4 linked regions of the Saccharomyces cerevisiae S288C genome follow. The gene in region 1 interacts genetically with each later gene. Each region holds a gene or a part of one and is shown on either strand. Other genes may lie near its edges.

Region 1 (5,040 bases):
AACATGAAAAGGGAAAGACAGCAGAAGAAGAAGAAATGAACTTAGGTATTCCACCAATTGAGTTAGAAAAGTGGGACAATGCTAAGGAAGATTGGGAAGATTTCTGCAAAGATTACAAAGAATGGAGAAATAAAAATGGTCTTGAAATAGAAGAGGAAAACCTTTCTAAAGCTTTTGAAAGATTCAAGCAGGAATTTTCTAACGCTGCAAGTGGATCAGGTGAACGTGTGAGAAAAATGAGTTTTAGTGGTTACTCACCAAAGCCTATTTCAAAAAAGGAAGAGTAGATGGCCAAAAACGACAGATGCGTGTGGAAGTCACAGTCTTGTTGTCTTATTTTCCAGTTCCTGTGGGAACTTACTTTCAAATGTTTTTCATACACTTTGACATATTGCAGTAAATTATATATGTAATTTTATATACGCTTTTACCTACACGAATTATTGTCTAACTTTTTTTTTTCTTCATTCCTAACGAGGAAGAGATTCAAGACACTGCAACTAGAAGTCGTCCGGATCAAACAGATCAAGATCAAGATCTAGGGCATCATCATTATTTTCTTCCTTTTCTTTATCTTTGGTATTGTCTGCCTCATCACCAACTTCTTTAGCAGTACCATCAAATATAAACGAGTCTGTCTTTGGTGTACCTTCTTTCTTGGCCATCTGCCCTTTTTGTTCTTCACTTTGAGATGGCGGTACGGTCGGTACTTCTGTTTCTTCTACTTCTTCACCGGGTATTCTAGTTAGCTCTTTACTATGTAATGAGGCCATAGCAAGCATTCCTCTTCGTAGGGCATCCTCTGCGGGCCATATAAAATTGTTGGGTCCCACAGCTCCCTTGTCGAACGTTGGTGGTATTTTGGTAAACTTGGAGAGTTTGGTGGCATAATCCAACAACTCTGTCGAATTGATTTTCGATCTTTGCTGTAAAATTGTGTTTTTCTCGAACTCTACTTGTTCAAGCATCGGTAGTGCTTTTAACTCGTCATGACATTCATTTAGAATTTCCAATATCTTCCTGGTTTTAGAATCTAGTTCTTCAGAGTCTTTGTCAATCTTCTGTAAGTTGCGGTAGATATTGTCATATTCAGCTAACAGTTTGACGTTTTCAAACAAGGCCTCATCAGTTCTGATCAAATCCTTGGCAATATCAAGGTTTGGTTTGAAACGATCTACAGATTCCACCAACTTACTCAATGTATCCTCGTACCGGCACAAATCTTCGTAGAGTTGGACCTTAGATAATTTGTCTTCACTATTCGTGTTTGAAGTAGCCTCTGCTACCAGGGATACAGAGGATGATCTGATGTGACCCATAGAAAACTCTACCGCTTTAGTATCTTGGACAGACATAACATTCGTTGTGTGTACTCTGGAAGTAATTGATACTAGATGCTTTCTCCACCGTTAACAATATACCAGAAAACCTTGTTGAAAACGGGACACGTTATAACTACTTTCCTTCGCGGTATGGTGAGCAGAGAATGCAAAAGTTTATCTTTTTCTCCAGCCTACCTTACGTAGGTGGTAATGCACTATTTTTTCGCATTTCTTTGAAAAGGCTGGCAATACGTCAAAGGCTATGTATGCTATAAGGGAAAGAAAGCTTATACGGAAAATAGCAACTGAATGTACTATGTTACTGTGCATTCGCATTCTATGTTAAAATTCAAAATCCATTGAGATGTATACACAAACATTTAAATAAGACATTTATATAAGCCGGCGCTTCCTGAAGTTCAGCACATGAAAAAATAGTGCTGCTCTTCTACCTTCAACCCAAATTGGTATTGAACCCAGAGCCTTTTTCAGGACTGGTTGCGATACCATCATGCTTCAGTTGCTTTTCAACTTCTTCCTTAAAGCCCTTTTTCCATAAATCATGATTTTCACCAATGACATAAGTAAGCGTCTTCTTCATATAACCTTCAGGACCTAAGAAACCCAACGCTTCTATAACATCTTCCAACAGTATTGTCATTCCGGAGCCTCTCTCCTCGCCTACTCCTGGATGCCTTATATTCACTATATGGACATGAAAATGGTAATATGAAGGTTGATAATGAATGAAAACTCTTAGCTCGTCCGGGTTTACATTATAGTCATAGTGCTGGGGGATGATGGTCTTAATCTTCTTATTGAGTCTAATTAACCAATCTCTATGGTTTGGGTTCAAATCTCTCAAAGATTTGATGTCGTCCCTGTACACGATCGCGACCAGGTATAACGAATCAATGTTGATTCCGTCCCACTTCATATCGGGCAAGATGACGAATCCATCCTCTTTATTCCTGCTACTGTATTCCTTATAAACAACTCTATCATCCTCGGCGCCCTCGTAAAGAATGTTGTTTACCCATTTCATTCTTTCGCTGGTACACATCTCTTGGATAAAGGGCACAACTATGTTTCTATACATATCAGGAGTTTCTCTGACGACATGTAAATCCTGCTGGTCGTATCCCTTGATGTGGAACTGCGAGGCGGGCCAAATTAAGTTAACCTTCGCAGTTGGGTTATGCAAAATATGCTGCTTCAAAACAGACAACCCCCAGTAGTAGATGTCATTCGAAGTTAATTCCTTCAGATCAGTAATACCGTTTAAAAAGGAGTACTCGTCTATTTCACGATGAAAGAAAATCGGAGTGCTACGGCCACTTTGAGAGGGTCTACGTACCGTTTCATCAAATATGAAATGCGTCTTTTCAGCAGTTAACACGGCATCCTTCCCATCTATGCTGCCTAGTAGTGAGATTACCTTTGTATGAGGGTTCGAATCTAACACCCTGACGTATTTAAACCTCCCAATTAAACTAGCTAAATCTTGGGAACCCATCATGTATTTTTTTACTTTTACACGCTCAAATCTTTTCAATTTTGCAATGAAAAGGTACCGACCTAACATATATTTGAAGACCAAACGAAACCCCCGTGCTTCTGTTTCTCTTCTTTCTGCCTTTATACTCATTGGTATTGTCACCCCTTATTTCCCCCCTAGGCGTCTGCGCGGCCGCTGTCATGGGGCTGTCCTTTCGGACTAGCATATAATCACTGACGCTAGCTCTAATCGATCAATAATTAAGTGGAAGTATTTTGTTGAGGTGGGTGATTATTATGGGGAAGATTTTTGACAATCGAATGAACACTTTAACAGCTTTTGGAGGCTAGAGTGCCAGTAAGCTCCATACTTCTTTGGAGTTGATTTCTTTTTCTTGCAGAATAGGTTGGACAAAGTACATCCATCAGAACAATTGCAGGTGCCTTTTGTTCACGCAATTACTGGCTTTTCCTTGTTTGTTTGGTCAAGAAGTTAGTGTTTAGCTTTTTCCCTTCATTTTTTTATTTTTCTTATTTTATAGATGCTTAAATGTCATTTTTGTCTTACTAATCATTAAATAGTTGGTCCGAAAGATAGGTCCAAGCGCAAGTCCAAGCCAATGGCTTGCTCTCGACTGTCTTCCATTACAATATGCAAGTTTTCTATCTAGCTGCTGTCGCAAGCATGTTTTTTTGTAAAAGAACTTCTCCTCTACTGCGTATCAAATAAATATTTATAATCTGGCTGACTCATTAGTTCCTCCCAGCCAAGGTTGTACGCCGTCCAAAATTCGTTGGATATTGTCTGTGCCAGTTCAGTCTCAATTGGCCCAGTTTCATTGTTATGCGAAGCGTTTTCGCTGTTATTTCGCACTTCCTCCGGGGGTAATCCTGGAGAATTTCCCGCCAATGGACTGGCGCTTGTGACGCCCAGGTCACTTAAACTGGGATCGATTGGAGTATTTACATTGTCAGTGAGCGAATAGGACCCATTCAATTCGTCTTGGAGTTGTTGTAACCATGTGTTTTCGACCTCGGTTCTATATTTGATTACTTTTTCCAAAACAGCTCTATATATGCTTTCCAGGGCGATGTTGATAACAAATGTATAAGAGCGAGCCATAATAATTCTTAACTGCTTGTTGTTATCATTAGACCATTTAGCAAATATATCTGAATGTATTTTGAAAGCAGTAAGTAAGTTCATAGCTTTATCCAACGGGATATTCAAGGTTGACAAATCCCAATCTGTGACTTCTTGATCTTTGATGTTGGATGATAGATAATAGCCCTTCTCAAAAAGAGTTAACTTATGATACAAAAACGCACAAAAGCCAGTAGAGGCCCTAGGAAAAAGGAAATTTGTGTATACTAAAGACAAGGCCATAAATGGCGGTAAATGAACGCAATTATGATCAAAAAACTCAGGAAAATGCTTCTCATCTAGGTTAAAACACAGTATGGTCGTATTGATGACAAGGGAAAAAGAGACCAAAATGGTTTGCAGGATGTTGTTCTCTAAAACAACGCTTTTTTCCTTGTAAATCAAATACCTCAAGGAATAAAACGTCAACAACAAATTCAAAACCTGCGCAAGCACTTTAATCTCGCACAAAGGAACTTTAGATATTAACTCACTGTCAGTGTAATATGATATTGGGTGGAATTCAGTCTCTACAAAGTTTCTTAGTTTTTTACAATTTTCGGCTAAGTCTGGAAATGCGCTTCTATCATAAATTTGATCTAGCATTGGTCGAGCTAATCTTAAAAACCTTTTAAGCTTGCCCATGCAGGAATTTGACTGATCGAAAAAAACCGTCGATGAATAATTGTTTGTATTTTTAGGCAACCTCTCACCATTCTCGCATTCATCGACTTGAAAATAGGATGAGTTAATCGCCAAACATCTCCCAATATTTAAAGAAACATTGAAATCTGATAATATAATCCAAACCCACAAATTTTCCAAACTTTCCATACTCCCCACAATATTTTCTTGATTTTTGTATATTTCTCTTATATTCAAGTGTAAACCCAGCATAATTGCCGTGCTGCATAATAAGTCAACTAGACTAATCATATGCGAATCGTCTCCACACGCCCAAATTAGTTCTCGATGATAGTATTTCAATAAGAGAAATTGAGCGCGTTCAATGAAATATACTTTAGCTGTTGACAGTCCCGTCAGCATGATGAGAAATTTCTCTATCTCTTCCGGAGT
Region 2 (4,795 bases), on another chromosome or scaffold:
TTGAACTTTGCCTTGTTTCAAATTAATCTGGTTAATCTTAAAGATCTGAGCATCCAACTGTTGAGATAAGTTACTTAAGTTCGTGGTCCAGTCATTGAACTCCTTTTGGACATTCGTTTTCTCATTGTTCAAATCATCGATTTCTGACTTAACGTTGGTTTGTTTGTCCAAGACCTCATTTTTCTCCTGCAACTTTTGGTTTTTCATATTTTCAGTGTCTTTTAATATCATTAGTTTCTTATTATTATGCTCGGCATTAACATCAATGATTTTTTTGACCAACCGGTTTTTACTAACTTCAATTTTCTCAGAAGTTTCTTCTCTCATGGCCTTCATTGAATTTTCAATTTCGTCAATCTGATTTTGTAAATCTTGTAGCTTTTCTTTGTATTCTTTATTTTTAGCATCATATTTATCCTTTTCCTTTGCTCGAAGATCAGCTAACCATGCTTGATGAATTTTTTCATCATAATTGATTTTATCATAAACTGCCTTTGATAGGTAACCATGTTCTTTTGTCTTTACAATTAATTCAGGATTTTCTGGAGTGGCCACTGGATTGGATGGAGCGGCGGTCTTACTTTTTTGGGTAGATGAAGAAGTAGGGCTTTTCCATAAAGCGAAAATTCCGGTTCTTTCCTTTCGAGAAGGTTCCTGAAAAGGGACCTTGGGAGCCTTGCTTGGATCGATTGGGCTTTCATCTTCTTCGGATTCCGGTTCCGAGGTTTCTGGAGTAGACGTTCTCTCAGCAGATTCCTCTGCAGACGATTGTTCGGTTTCCTCTTCTGCATCCCCTTCCGCTTCCACTTCCTTTTTTTCTTCCCCACTGGGAGGATTGACTTTTTTTACATCGGATTTTTCCTCCTTTTGTTCGTCTGTTGGCACGACACCTGACTTTGAACCGCCACTTTGATCTGTAGTGCGTGGTTCCAACACCCCATTCTCGGATGAGATTGGTTCCGCTACATTAATTTGAGCTGAATCAGCAGTGCCTTTGCCAATTGAAGTAGACTCACTCACTTTGTCTTCATGTTCTTCCTCCACGGAAGTTGCTTCATCAGCACTATTTTCGACAGCATTAGTAGTAGAAGTGCTGGTAGTAGAAGTACTGGTGGTAGTGGTTGTCGTAGTTGCAGTGTCAGCAGTTGCTTCAGTGGCCTCAGATGTGGTAGTAGAAGTAACGTCCCCTTCATCTGATGAAGACGATGACGATGACGATGACGATGACGATGACGATGATGATGTAGAAGTGGACGAAGAAGTAGTAGTGTCAGTGTCATCTTTTTCATCCTTAGTTAAGTCAGTAATTTTCTGGCACTTCTTCAAATATTTCAAATGTTTCTCCTTTAGTTCCAACTCAGTTAGTAACTGATATTGTCTTTCTTCATTTTGAGTTAGGTAAGTTGGAAATCTAATATCTTTGGCTCTCTTAGCATTTTTTGGTATGTTTTTGTACCCTAAATCCTTAGGTTGCTGTTTTGAATAGGCAGAAGTAGCACTTACGGTAGGAAACTTTCTGTTTTTTGCGTCTTCCCCATATGCCCGGTTGTTTTGCCTATTGGCGAGGGCATCTTGTCTAAATGGCGAGACCCACTCTTCCTTACCTTTTGGCTCATTGGACACAACCTTTTGCAAAAACTGATAAGGGCTTTCCTGCTGATGCGCTTGCTGATTTTGCGTATTTGCCGAAGATTGATTGATCAATTGCGTAAAGGGGTCGTCTTCTTGACGGTTGATATTGAATAGCATGTTTTGAATACGTAGTTGATTGACCTCTTTCTTTTAATTGCGTGCAGCTGCTCTCAGGTTTAAGATGTACGAGGGTCCACGGGGTAGCAAGCACAAGAACGATGATATATATGACAGAACGATGGATAAGAATGGTATGTTGTCTGCACTGTTCAGCATTCGACTACCCCTCTCCCGGTTCTTTTCTCCTCGTTTCAATTTAAAAAAGCAACTCGCTACCCGGCCGCACACCCCTTATTCCTGTTCAGCCGTTTAAGGTGAGAACCCTTTACTTCATAGCCTTTGTAGATCTTTCTATTGCTACCATTGAAGGGTCGGTGACGTGGAAATTTTGACATTTATCAGTGGCGTATTGGGAGGCAAGCAATTGAAAGAACTGTGATTTATTTCCGCTTGTTCGAAATTATTGATGTTTAGCACTTTGCAGTAGCGACAATACAATATATGTGCTTTTAGTGCTGGGATAGTTCGTAGCTCCATTTCGGGGCGCTTGTTACATTTATTGTATATGCGCGGATGTGGCACATGCTGTTGAGATCTCACTCCTTTGGTATCTCTTTCCTGCGCCGCATTGTGCCGGCAGAATGTCGCGCTTGTATTCTCATGAACTTTTCCTCTTTACGAACCCTTTGGCGGCATGCCGTTTAAAATCTGTTGAAGATTTCCTTTACGAACAATGAGCAATGTTTTGCACAGGCAGGTGGGAAGTAGGGCCTATCGCGCCTTGGATGCAGATATAAGTATAAATATAAATTATAATAATTGGCTGTATCAGTAAATCCTTCTTGCGATGGGAGGAAGCACGATAGAGTATGTTAAGCTTTTGAGAGGCTTCATATTCATTGGAATTTTAAATAACAATAAAGCAACAACAATAATAAATGCTATCAGCTGCAGATAATTTAGTGCGCATCATAAATGCTGTTTTTCTTATTATATCCATAGGTCTAATCAGCGGCCTGATAGGTACACAGACAAAGCATAGTTCTCGAGTGAACTTTTGTATGTTTGCCGCCGTTTATGGTCTGGTTACGGATTCATTATATGGGTTTTTGGCTAATTTCTGGACATCATTAACATACCCAGCAATTTTGCTTGTTTTGGATTTTTTAAATTTCATATTTACGTTTGTAGCAGCCACCGCTTTGGCTGTAGGTATAAGATGCCATTCGTGTAAAAACAAAACATATCTGGAACAGAATAAGATCATACAAGGCTCAAGCTCCAGATGTCATCAATCTCAGGCTGCTGTTGCGTTTTTTTACTTTTCCTGTTTTCTATTCCTCATCAAAGTGACTGTGGCCACGATGGGTATGATGCAAAATGGTGGATTTGGCTCTAATACCGGATTCAGCAGAAGGAGGGCAAGAAGACAAATGGGCATACCTACAATTTCCCAGGTTTAAGCCTACTGGACTGAAAAAAAGGCAATTCGCGTACAATTTTCGTTGATCGTTCTTTATATAACCTTTGCATTAAATAAATTTAACAAAAAAAGTTCTTTCTAAAATAATATTATGGTGATACATGAATGTGCTTTAGTTTTTTCGTAGGCTCATCCATGTATATATATAAATGATAAAAAACTAAGTTACGATATTGATAGCATACGTATTCGTGTTGGTAACTAAATGGAAAGATGGAATATGTTATTGGCGTTGTTATCCCCCATATATACAGGTTTCTAATATGATTAAAAAAAAATTTTCTCCCCTAGTTTATTGTGTTCATAGCTTTTCCAGACTTAACGGCCAATGTTCAAAAGCAAGGAATTTGGTGATCCCGAAGACTCGCTGTTACCACCACCAGAATGTTGACTTGGTAAATAGACAACGTTAGATGAGTTTGCTAATGTTTGAGCGATGTCCTTAGAAGCTTCTAATCTTCTAATCAATAACAGACCATCACCAACTTTAGCTAAGGCTTTTGAAATGAATTCAGCACTTTCTGCTTCACCTTCAGCTCTGATAACAGAAGCTTGTCTCTCTTGCTCTGCCTTTTCGACAAGGAATTTGGCTCTTTCGGCATCTTGCTGTGCAATCTGCTTCTGCTCAACTGCTTTCGTGAATTCGGGACCAAACGTCATATGAGTGATAGAGACATCTTCCAACTTAATACCGAATTCGTTGGCCCTCGTAGAAAGCTCTTTTCTGATTTTTTGAGAAATAATTTCTCTCTGAGTAATTAACTCAGCAGCATCAAATTGAGCTACTATAGACTTTAAAACCTCATTGCCGATAGATGGTAACACTCTTTCGTCGTAATCGAGACCCAAATTTTGGTATATTGCGGGTAGCTGTAAGACCTCTGGTCTATGTAAGACTCTCAAGGTCAATGACACCATTTGCAAATCCTTCGTACCAGTATTGGTAGCAATGCTCTTTGGTTTCGTCCTCACATCGTATATGATCGCCTTCTGTAGCCAAGGCACCAAGAAATGAGTGCCTTCACCCACAACCTGTTGCTTTACACCATTGATTCTGTCGAAAATAACACCACGAGAACCACCCTTCACATCATACATGGAGTACTGAATCCCGCTAGCAATTATACCAATGGGCAACGCCACCTTGGTGATGACATCGATAAGTTTGGCAGAATTAGACATTCTTTTCTAAAGTAAATTATTGATTTTGAATGTAAGTTTCGTACCGTTGATGGTTGGTTTACCGATTTATTTTTTTTCCTCTTCTTTCTGCTTAATATTATATACCTCAACCGTTGCATCCATGAGATCGTCAAACTCCCTTTCCCTGAAATTTATTGATGCGATACATTCGCGTTACCCGTATCATCATGAAGACGAGTTTATTCTCATCAGTGTTGATCTCTCATACTTGAATAACTCATTTGCAATGGTCTAAGACTCCAACTATGTAGTCATAGTCATTCACTGAAGTTTCTCTTTTCGAAATCCTGAACGGAAGCGGAATATATGTGGTATATATCGCATATTACTGCTTCACAGCATGCAGCGCAGACTGGCCGGGTTATGCTGCCACTTACTGGAGACAACATAAAATATACATAATCATCGCCTTTATAC
Region 3 (5,501 bases), on another chromosome or scaffold:
ATTGAAGTCGTATATTATTTTTGGTGGCTCACTTTATTTCATTACTATGGGACTATTTTACCGCTACAGGTCAGGTCAAGACGCCGATGGAGGTATAATTGCTGGTATGGTTATTTGGGGTCTCAGTAGTTGTTTATTCGATTATCCTACAATTGTTTCTATTCAGTCGGTAACATCCCATGAGAATATGGCTACTGTCACAGCATTAAACTATACAGTTTTCAGAATAGGTGGAGCAGTTGCAGCTGCCATTTCCGGTGCCATATGGACGCAGTCATTGTACCCTAAATTATTGCACTACATGGGAGACGCTGACCTGGCTACAGCAGCATATGGCTCACCACTAACTTTTATTCTTTCCAATCCCTGGGGTACTCCAGTTAGGTCTGCGATGGTTGAAGCTTACAGACACGTTCAAAAATACGAAGTTATTGTTGCGCTTGTATTTTCAGCGCCTATGTTCCTTCTAACATTCTGCGTAAGAGATCCTCGGTTGACTGAAGATTTTGCCCAAAAGTTACCTGACAGAGAATATGTCCAAACCAAGGAAGATGATCCTATCAATGACTGGATCGCGAAACGTTTTGCAAAGGCCTTAGGCAGGTCATAAGAAAGATTTACAAAACCCCAACAGGATATGTGTTCGAAAAAATGATCTCTGATATGCGCAGTAATTTTTGTATGGTACATAAGATGAAGCAAGATAAGTGATAGTAATATTTGTTACCATGTATATGTTTAATGTGATAACACAAAAGCGTAATATGAGTAATGTTTCAGTAATGTTTCACACATAGAAAACATATAGTGGAAAACGTATTGTAGCAAACCTCTAATCCGGTAGTACTTGAGAAATTATAGCTTCTGTGTACAAAAACAGTACCTATGTAATTCTTACATTTACATAACATATATAAACTTACTACATTATGACATATAAGCTAAATCGTAATTTACTACGTCAACAATATGTCATAGTGTAGTGATATCATTTGCGATTATATCCTACAAAAAAAAAGCACTTATATGACCAAAAATGTATTATCTGGATTTTAAGTTACCGCTTTAATATATGATGTTCTAATGTGAAGCCTGTGTACATATTGATTAGTATGAAAACATTATTGAACTTTCATGTTAATGACACCATGGCAGTATTCTTACCCCAAGTAAAGTGTTTCAGTCTTATTGCTAAAGGGTAGAATATTTTTATATTTAGGTGATTTTAGTGGTTATTTTTCTATAACAAATATTGAAAATAAGTGTTTTTGAATTTAGTGGTTATTGTATGGTGTAAAGTGATAAAACATATGCGAAAAGGAGTATTAATAATAATAAACAAGTAAAATACGTTTTGACTTACTGATATTCGATCAACTACACATAGTATATTTTGGAAAAGGAACATTTGTTCCTACTTTAGGGGCTTCTCATTGCGGGCCGATTGCGCTTCTTTAATGTATGGCCATAGCTCAACGTTCAACGAAGCAAACCACATAGGTTTTTTTAAAGATAAGAGACGATAGAAAAAGCGCCTAAAAAACCATTCGCAGTCAAGTCCATCGTAGAAAAACTCTTCATTATTCCAGACTTTTTTCTCAAACAAATACCTATTCATTTTCTTTGCAATTTCGTCCCATCCATTCGCACCACTTTCTTGCTCATTTATAATAGTTGACAAGAACTGCATCTTGTGTTCCATTTTCACGGATAAAACAATCATCCTCATATTTTGGAAATCTCTCGTCATGATAAAAAACATTACTACCGGAAACAAGAAACGTGATATAAGGTCAGCATTTCCAGACGTGTAGACAATTAAAAAATAATAAAGGAAGAGTGGTAAACACCGCAGGTTGAAAATCCTTTTAAGAATCCAGGTAAGCTTAAATCGGTAAGCTTCTTTGGGGAGCTGAATGTCTTCCAGGTCGAAAGGACTCTCTTCCTTCTCAGTATTAAACAGCTTCCACTCTTTGTCAAATCCTGCAGCATACACTTGCAAGGCCTCTTCGATATAAGGAACGGAATCCTTAAATGACTTAACCTTTGCAGATTCGTCTTTTTTTAAAGAGAAGGGTTCGAGAAGGGTTGTTTTAAACGCTTTTTGGCAGCTCATGGCATTGAAAAAAAAGTACTTGGTATTCCAAGTCTTATTTTCATAGAAGTACGAATTTAGATTTGCTGCAACGACTTCCCAATCATGAGGATCCGAACTTGGTGTGTCTTCAGTAATCTCTTTGCAAAACTGAATGAGTTGTTTCGATAAGGAACGCTTACGAGAAAGTCCACAAATAACAAGGACAAAAAATGGTCCCAGGAACAGGACAAGAAGTGAAACTATAAGTGGGTGAATCCAATTGCTGGAAAGTTTCCACCAGACGCTAAGTGGTAGCCATAACAGCATCCAGATGCGAAACGCTAAAGACTTGTAAATTTCATAACAAAACCAGGTCAATTCGTTTCGGAAAACATCTTGAGGTAGAACGGTCTTTTGGAATTCGAGCTGTTTGAAGGATAACACATCTACGCTTTTCTCATCTTTGACTTCATTCTCTTTCATTTTCGGTAGTGAGATGGCAGTTCGAGGGGTTTTTTATTCGAAATAGTAACTTCTGACTTTTCGCTTTTATACAGCACAGCAGAAAAAAAAAGCCGCCGAGGCGCGCGCGTTCATGCAATGGCTCAGTAACCTCGTGATAGAAAAAGGGAAACAATATTGGGCTATTTTAGGCAAAGAAACTCAGCTATTCGAAAAGGGCATCCATTTCATTTCCGGTTTTCTATCTAGCCAACTCGATAATCGTAATAACGAATTTACAAAACTTTAATGCGGGTGCATCACGGTGTGCCGTAACTTTGGTTTACATTTAAGGTGCGACCAGCAATGTCACTGCTCGTACAGCGGTTACCGCTTGAATGAAATACATATTTTAAGCGTAGATTTCCTGTGACAAAACTGTGTAAACATCTAGTAGAAAATAGACGTAGCTGTCACAAATATTTACACAGGAAAGAGTCCGTCCTACGTATCTGACATGAAGATTCATAGAACCAAGTTACTTACAAATGTGGACAACCTTTCAATACCATTTTTTATCCTTATGCTTGGTGTCACTGTAAAATTGATCAAGGCAAAACCTAGAGGTACGGTGGTGCTCAGATCATGCATGACATCTGGGTAATCACCACTTCTCCCGCTTGCTTTGAGATTCTGTATAAATATTGCAAACAAAAGGGTAGAGCACGGATGGGAGGCCTTATAGTAAAAATTATTCGTTTTAATCATGCGTCAGTGTGAGATTCTATGACAATAGTATGAGAAGATAGGGTGAAGTAAAAGCGTCTGTATGACTATAGAGTACAGTTATATTACAATATATGGAATAGAGCATAGTGGTATGACGGTATTAAGGAACATTTAAGTTAATGACGTCATGGTGGTATTGATACGCAATTGAGTGTGTTTATGTACTATGGTTGAAGGATAGAATATTTTTATGTTTAGGTGATTTTAGTGGTGATTTTTTTGTAATATTGGCATAAGTGTATATAAATTGAGTGGTTAGTATACGGTGAAAAAGAGGTATAACGTATGTATTAAGAGCAGTTATACAATATTTGGGGCCGCCGAATGAGATATAGATATTAAAATGTGGATAATCGTGGGCGTTATGGGTAAATGGCACAGGGTATAGACCGCTGAGGCAAGTGCCGTGCATAATGATGTGGGTGCATTTAGTACTGATTTAGTGAGAGATGGGTCATGGAGTGGAGTAGAATGTGAAAGTAGGGTAAGTTGAGAGTGGTATATACTGTAGCATCCGTGTGCGTATGCCGTACCAGTATACAAGTGCAAGTGAGTGTGGCATGTGGTGTGTGTGGGTAAGTACGTGTGTATTATTTACGATCATTTGTCAACGTTTCAACATGGTGGGTGGGACATGGAGCATTAGGAAGTGACTTGGTACGCCAAAAAGGGCTCCTCTACCTCAGCGGGGTAATAAAATTTATCCACGAAGCGGCTGAGCAACGAACAGAATCCTGGTTCTCCTCGACTAAGCAGACGGTTAAGATACTGTGCACCATGGAAATTGAAAACGAAAGCACGTACCGACTGCTTTATTTTTGCAGGCCGGAAATCAAGCGATGAATGAGACATCCTTCTGTTTTCTATGTTGGGACAGACAGTCGCTTATCTTAGTGAGATTTCTTATTAACTGAATTTTCTTTGCTGCTGCTGGAGATTTGCACCTGCATAGCGCAGATTCTGCTTCTTCTCAATAGAGTAGCTTAATTATTACATTCTTAGATGATGATAAGACGGAAACTGGACAATCTTTTGTTTATATTGATGGATTTCTTGTCAAAAAGCATAACAATCAACATACTATTGTTAATTTCGAAACTTACAAAAATAAAATGAAAGTTTCCGATAGGCGTAAGTTTGAAAAAGCAAACTTTGACGAGTTTGAGTCGGCTCTAAATAACAAAAACGACTTGGTACATTGTCCCTCAATAACTTTATTTGAATCGATCCCCACGGAAGTGCGGTCATTCTACGAAGACGAAAAGTCTGGCCTAATCAAAGTGGTAAAATTCAGAACTGGTGCAATGGATAGGAAAAGGTCTTTTGAAAAAATTGTCGTTTCCGTCATGGTCGGGAAAAATGTACAAAAGTTCCTGACGTTTGTTGAAGACGAACCAGATTTCCAGGGCGGACCAATCCCTTCAAAGTATCTTATTCCCAAGAAAATCAACTTGATGGTCTACACGTTGTTTCAAGTGCATACTTTGAAATTCAATAGAAAGGATTACGATACCCTTTCTCTTTTTTACCTCAACAGAGGATACTATAATGAGTTGAGTTTCCGTGTCCTGGAACGTTGTCACGAAATAGCGAGTGCCAGGCCGAACGACAGCTCTACGATGCGTACTTTCACTGACTTTGTTTCTGGCGCACCTATTGTAAGGAGTCTTCAGAAAAGCACCATAAGGAAATATGGGTACAATTTGGCACCCCACATGTTTTTGTTACTACACGTAGATGAGCTATCGATTTTTTCTGCATACCAAGCAAGTTTACCTGGCGAAAAGAAAGTCGACACAGAGCGGCTGAAGCGTGATCTATGCCCACGTAAACCCACTGAGATAAAGTACTTTTCACAGATATGTAACGATATGATGAACAAAAAGGACCGATTGGGTGATGTTTTGCATGTGTGCTGCCCAAGTTGAGAAGAGATACTAACAAAATGACCGCGGCTCTCAAAAATAATTGACGAGCTTACGGTGATACGCTTACCGTTATCCAGAGCTACAGCGCAACGTATACGTCGACGATACAACAAGAACGGTTCATCGGAGCCTCGACTAAAGACGCTTGACGGACTCACTTCCGAGCGCTGGATTCAATGGTTAGGCCTTGAAAGCGACTACCATTGTTCATTCTCTAGTACTCGGAATGCGGAAGACGTAGTGGCAGGTGAGGCGGCGAGTTCAGA
Region 4 (5,719 bases), on another chromosome or scaffold:
TCGCTCTGCCAAAACGTATCGTAGTTATCATCTAGAGCAAAGTCCACAGGATTCCCCAACTTAAAAGAAGAAGGCTTCCAAAGCGCTAAATGTGTCACGTTGATCATCCTTGCCGAATCCAATATTTCAATACCTTGGTGGAACATATGTTGCAAGTTCTCCGGTGTAGGATTCTGATACTGAATCTCTTCTTGGAACCCATTCACGTAGAGATCTTTGGTTGCCGCATCCACAATCCTGTCATCCAACACCAACACTGAAGGTTTATTATGGCAACTCTTAACAGGTTTGATAAGCTCTGAGGGTGCTAAATGGTCCAAGACTTTGTTTATTCCAATCGGGTCCATTATCTGACTTCTAAATCTCGTATTATTTTTGCCACCTTCTGTGGTCAGTTTATTTAACACTTTCTTTCTTTTATATAGACGGCGCTTATTTTGCCGCATTTTTTCTACTCTAACTACTTTACATCTGATATCTCCACGGCTTATGTATATAAGCTACAAAAGGGCTTCTGAAAGAACTTTACGTTCACTGTCGGATAGAGTCTCGTAAATACAATGGAAGCCACTCACATCTTTGCTTGCAACCTCTTTAAAGAATCTTACCAGTAGCTGAACAACAGATTCCTTCACGTCCATGAGTCCCGTTATATCGTCTGAATCGTCGTCTGCTTCTTCATCGACATCATCATCAATATATTCTTTCAACTTATCGTAATCGAGTACATCATCTACATCTTCCCAATCATCATTGTCGTCATCTTTATTAGCATTTACCACTTCTTGCTTAATATCGCTTGTGATCAATTGTTCTGGATTCGGTTGTTTACTTTGGAAGCTTAACTCAGAAACAAACAATTTAATGATCTTGGTATAAAGTGGAACTTGTACATACCTGTCTGGCATTTTCTTAGCCATTGATCTTGTAATGATCAGGTCCCCTTCGTATGGTATCAAGTTACCATTGACAACCACTTTCTGTAGCCTTTTGTCGTTCAGGAAGAAAAGGTTGCTCAAAGCAACGATATTTTCTTTGATTCTTTTTTCACCTCTAATGACTTCAAAGGCTTCTATCCATTTTCGCATCACCAATGTCAAAGCATCAGTATTGTCAATTTGGAAACTAGACAAAAAATCCACCGTTTGTTTAGGATCATTACACGTTAAGAAGCATAATACAGAAAGAAGGTTTTGCTCAGTAGAAATGTTTTGTGTCTTAATTAACCTTACCACAACGGCTTCCAAAATTCTTCCTATTAACGGTTGGATTTCCTTTGAAAACCTTGTGAATATGGCAACTACCAATGGACCGACGTTCATAGCGGCTGAATCCGATACCTCCAAAGACAGCAGCCTTTCTAGAACCTTCATGATATCCATTAACCTTGGCTCCATGGCTCGTGTATCTGTGTTGAAAATCAGGTAGCTGAATGCCTCCGTGGCTAACTGTAGGGTCTCATCTTCAGTAGAGAACGCTAATACTTTTGCTAATGGTTCAAATAGGTATTGATTTATTTCATCTGGTAAAAATCCATCGTTGGGTTTTTTCTTCAAAAAAACTGTGATGAATTCCAAGACTAATGATAGCAGGGGTGAGTATCTATAATTGTTTGCATTGTTGGAATCTAGCACATTAATAAATGATGGGAGACATAATTCAATGTAATTTTTGTAATTATCCATATTGATATTATCCAATAGTTTCTCCAAGCATTCTTGACTTTGTACAACGACCTGTACATTTGCTGGATCCTCGGATGAGATCGTGAACACAAGATGAAATTCAGCCTGTAAAATTTCCTTTCTTGAATGAGGTTCTTTCGGATTGTAGCTAATGACTTGACTTAATACTTCCATTAAAGCCCCATTAGTGTCCTCTTCGGCATCACTACTAACCTGGTTGATTATTCGAATTACTTTTTCCTGGGTTTCTGAGCAGACCTCTGGTCCAAGGACTGAATCTAGTTCGGCAAAATAACAATAGTACGTAAATGCTATTAATGTTGCGGATTTAATGAGCTCTTTATCAGATTTTAGCGCCAAATTAAGACTTTTTGCCAAGAATGCAGATGTCAAGGGTTTGATATCAGGTAATGCATCTATAAATTTGTCTAGTACTCTGGGAATAGTCAAAATTGCACGCGCCAATATTAATTCTGGTATTTCTTGTGATACTAAGATATTTTCTAACGTTTTTATTAAAATTTGCAAAGATTGATCGATATTTTCACCAGTTATCTCATCATCATTAAGCAAAATACACTGTAAGAGATATAGTAAAGATTCTAAAGTTGAATAATTACACGTGCTGTGTTCTATATCGTTGGAAACAACTTTGAAAATTAGGGAAAGTTGAGGATTGGGTAATGAAGTAAAAAATTCATTGGCTTGATCTCTAACATTATATGATGCTGCTAGGCCTGTTTCCTTCGATACAAATGTATTGAAATCGCTTGTCCATATCTCTCTTGTCTCAGAACTTAGCTGACAAAGAATGGTTAAAGATGTTATAATTTTGTTCATCTCTTCAACACTAAATTGCAAAGTGCAAACACTAGTCAAAAATTCTACAATATAAATAGAACAATCATGAACTGTTTCTAAAAGGGGTTCACTTTCAGTAGTTTCGACATTTGCATTTATATGGGTAACGTTTTCCAGATCTTGGATTGCCATTATTTTGAACTGTTTTTGTAATTCACTTGAGAAATGCTTTCTAGAGAAATCATTTTTAATAAAAACCAAATTCTCGTATATAATGGATTTAAATTTCAACTGAGAAATAACATCTACGTTTCCAAAATTCAAAGTCAACAATTGTCCCAATATCTGTAAAGAAGTAGCTAAACATTGGGAGACAAAACTTTTTCGTGACGCCTCATCATACTCATTATGGGAGCTCATTTGTAGAAGACATGCTTTAAGTAGCTTCAAAGCAGCAATTTTGGCTATCAAAGTAGAAGTTTCTGTATTGAGTACTTTGAAAACGATCTCCATTGTCGCCAAGCCAATTCCGCCTTCAAAGAACATTTCTTCAGATACGACATCATCGTAAATTTCATTCAATAAAGACATCGCATTTAATGAATGCTGATGAGAGATAGCATCATAAATAACTGTTAAAAGCTGCGGCCATTGATCAGGAAAATCAACCGCAGATATCTGAACAATACAGTAAGATGCACCATTTTTTATTTTGGTATTTTCATTGTCATTTAAGCATAATTTCAGTAGCACTTCTCGGATAAAATCTTTAACATCTATTTCGACGTTCGATGTAGAACGGTATGATTCAAATCCTGGACTCCAATACATGGTGATCAATTTTCTTAACGACAATAAAGCAAACTGTCTCGATTCTAGAGAAGCTTCGTGCTGTAAGGCAACGTTTGCCAGCGCTTTAAACACTTGAGATGCATCGGAATCACACCACTGTAACAATTGCGTTTCCGCAACTTCTCTAGTGTGTTTATCAGCTGATTGAGCACCTATTATCAATTCATTAATATCCATTTTAATGTGTTGATAGTGTTACAATTACGTTCAAGATTTTCGGATCGTGTATGCAGGTCATATACATCCATATGTATCTTTTTTTTTTTTTCCTAGTATACCCAAGGTATAACGCGTTGATAGAAAGGTTGACAATAAATTCATTATATAGGGGTCCTGTGAGGTAGTTTCTGAATCCCAGTGAAAAAAGTCATAAGTGAAAGAAGTCGAAGTTTTTCACAAAATAAATTAGTTTCTTTTTTTGATCATGAATACTGAAGGTGCTTCTTTAAGTGAACAATTGCTGGATGCAGCTAGAAGAAACAATCTGGATCTTTTGGAGACCGTATTTGATAGCTTAGATAATGATCCTGAGAAGATTGCAAAGCTAATTAACGAATCCAAAGAACCACTGGGGAATACAGCGTTACATTTATGTTGTAAGTATGGATCCTGGGAAGTTCTCGACAAGATTCTCGATCAAGACGGTGAAATCGAAATAGACCCACAAAACGACGTTGATGGCGACACTCCGTTACATGTTACTGTCAGATACAGTCAAGAGGAGCCTGAGCATGGAACTTTTATTGCTAGAAACTTAATTGAAGTGGGTGCGGATCCTAGGGTGAGAAACTATAACAATCAAAAGCCAGTTGATTTGGTTCATGGTGATGAACTGGATGAATTAATTGACCTTTTGCAGGGTGCCGAGTTAGCGATTGATAGTACCAATGGATCAGGTGATAACAATGAGGATGGGGAAATGATAGATGATGGTCCATCTGACGATGACGAAGAAGATGATAAAAAATGATAAAATATGTGATGATAATACCACAGAGAGGGAAAGATAGATGAACTCTGGATATATAGATATTTCTACTGTGTATATATTTCTTTAAGGTGCACTAACAAAAAAGTGTGCATATACGCATATTCAACAATATATATATATATTACTTCACATCATCCGTTCTGGTGGGTATCCAACCATCGGGAGATAAAATGTTCTTTATTGCGATAATTAACTGGCTTCTCTTTTTTTGACGAGATTTAAATTCCAAATAGCTTATTCCTTCATACTCTGGTCTTATTTTTTTGAATAGTTCCCATTGTGCAAACCGGCTTACTTGCGATTGACAGTGTTTCCTCAGTGGTTTCGATGATTTGGTATAAAATCCATTCCTCACGCCATTAAGAATCGCTTCTTCGGTGCTAAAGTCATCCATAAAGAGCTTGACACTACACATTAGACCAGGAACATCCTCCTCATCCAATTTATCATCATAAAATGGTTTGAGGCAATTCAGGAATTTAATTTCATTATCTAGATTCGGTAGACGAGTGTGAAATGATTGCTCTAGATGATGTTTCGTTTCATCTTCTAAATTAGGAATCACAATGTACTTTAAAAATACAGGTTTTTCAAAGAGTTCATAATTTAAACAATTCAGTACCGACGACCGTTGTTTCATTAATAATTTATCAGAACAGGATTTAGATAAAGTGATATTGGAATCATATCTTCCTGGTTTAGTCCTAACGACATTTCTTCTATTGAAATTCAAGCGTCCCCTCAATATTGTTTTCACACTACGGTCGACGTATTGAAATTCGTCGCTATCTTCTATTTTGATGAAATCATCATTTTTGCAATTATCATTCAGGAAACTCATGCTGGCATCACCACAGGGCAATCTCGAGATGTACAATGCCAACTCCCAGTTTTCCTTTAAATTGAATCTGGCAGGTATCTCGTCATTATGTTGAATGAATTTATCACCACTTGATGGATTATAGTTTTGAATACGGTTTAATAAAACTGTATTAGCACCTCGTAATGCCAGTATTTCTGCATGACAGTCATGCAGAATCTTCCCCTCACTTCTTTGTAGTTCTGAATCTGGCAAAGCCTTCACACCAGTAGCTATGGAAAGTATCTCTATCTTATTCGCACCGCCATCTCTGTTAATAGCTGCAACACCTGCCAATATTGTCCACTCTCTGATACCTGAAGGCCTAATTATTGGTCTGCAGGCAGATTTTAGTTTTGAATACTCATTAATCACCCTCGTTGATATCTCTTCACCCAATTTATCCTCACTTGGCATAGTGAGAAGGTTTACTATGCATGGCCTTGTTCCTTGGCACGAAACCATTCACATCACTATTATTTTCTGTTCATTTTTTTTTTTTTTTGCATCACAACGATGATAGTATTATTT

The links.
Region 2: mutations in MED4 (region 1) and FHN1 together harm fitness less than expected from each alone (positive genetic interaction), as found in Saccharomyces cerevisiae (one large-scale study listed by BioGRID).
Region 3: mutations in MED4 (region 1) and COS8 together harm fitness more than expected from each alone (negative genetic interaction), as found in Saccharomyces cerevisiae (one large-scale study listed by BioGRID).
Region 4: mutations in MED4 (region 1) and KAP114 together harm fitness more than expected from each alone (negative genetic interaction), as found in Saccharomyces cerevisiae (2 studies listed by BioGRID).

Annotation. Positions count from the first base shown.
Region 1 is NC_001147.6:655,062-660,101, reverse strand, and holds MED4 (Med4p), read right to left. Parts: upstream 1,356-5,040; coding exon 501-1,355; downstream 1-500. Other genes in the region: ALE1 (lysophospholipid acyltransferase), read left to right, coding at 1-287; DCS2 (5'-(N(7)-methyl 5'-triphosphoguanosine)-(mRNA) diphosphatase), read right to left, coding at 1,777-2,838; YRM1 (Yrm1p), read right to left, coding at 3,532-5,040. UniProt on the Saccharomyces cerevisiae protein: Component of the Mediator complex, a coactivator involved in the regulated transcription of nearly all RNA polymerase II-dependent genes.
Region 2 is NC_001139.9:752,096-756,890, forward strand, and holds FHN1 (Fhn1p), read left to right. Parts: upstream 1-2,630; coding exon 2,631-3,155; downstream 3,156-4,795. Other genes in the region: YGR130C (uncharacterized protein), read right to left, coding at 1-1,749; prohibitin subunit PHB1, read right to left, coding at 3,494-4,357. UniProt on the Saccharomyces cerevisiae protein: Involved in membrane organization. Required for the formation of membrane compartments of CAN1 (MCCs), localization of CAN1 at the MCCs and subsequent invagination of the plasma membrane at the MCCs sites.
Region 3 is NC_001140.6:3,460-8,960, reverse strand, and holds COS8 (Cos8p), read right to left. Parts: upstream 2,561-5,501; coding exon 1,415-2,560; downstream 1-1,414. Other genes in the region: ARN2 (siderophore transporter), read left to right, coding at 1-610; YHL048C-A (uncharacterized protein), read left to right, coding at 3,164-3,298; YHL049C (uncharacterized protein), read left to right, coding at 4,420-5,235.
Region 4 is NC_001139.9:43,241-48,959, reverse strand, and holds KAP114 (karyopherin KAP114), read right to left. Parts: upstream 3,516-5,719; coding exon 501-3,515; downstream 1-500. Other genes in the region: anaphase promoting complex subunit DOC1, read right to left, coding at 1-347; ankyrin repeat-containing protein ANK1, read left to right, coding at 3,763-4,308; TAD1 (tRNA-specific adenosine deaminase), read right to left, coding at 4,451-5,653. UniProt on the Saccharomyces cerevisiae protein: Required for nuclear protein import and mediates docking of import substrate to distinct nucleoporins. Serves a receptor for nuclear localization signals. Mediates the nuclear import of TATA-binding protein (TBP) and of histones H2A and H2B.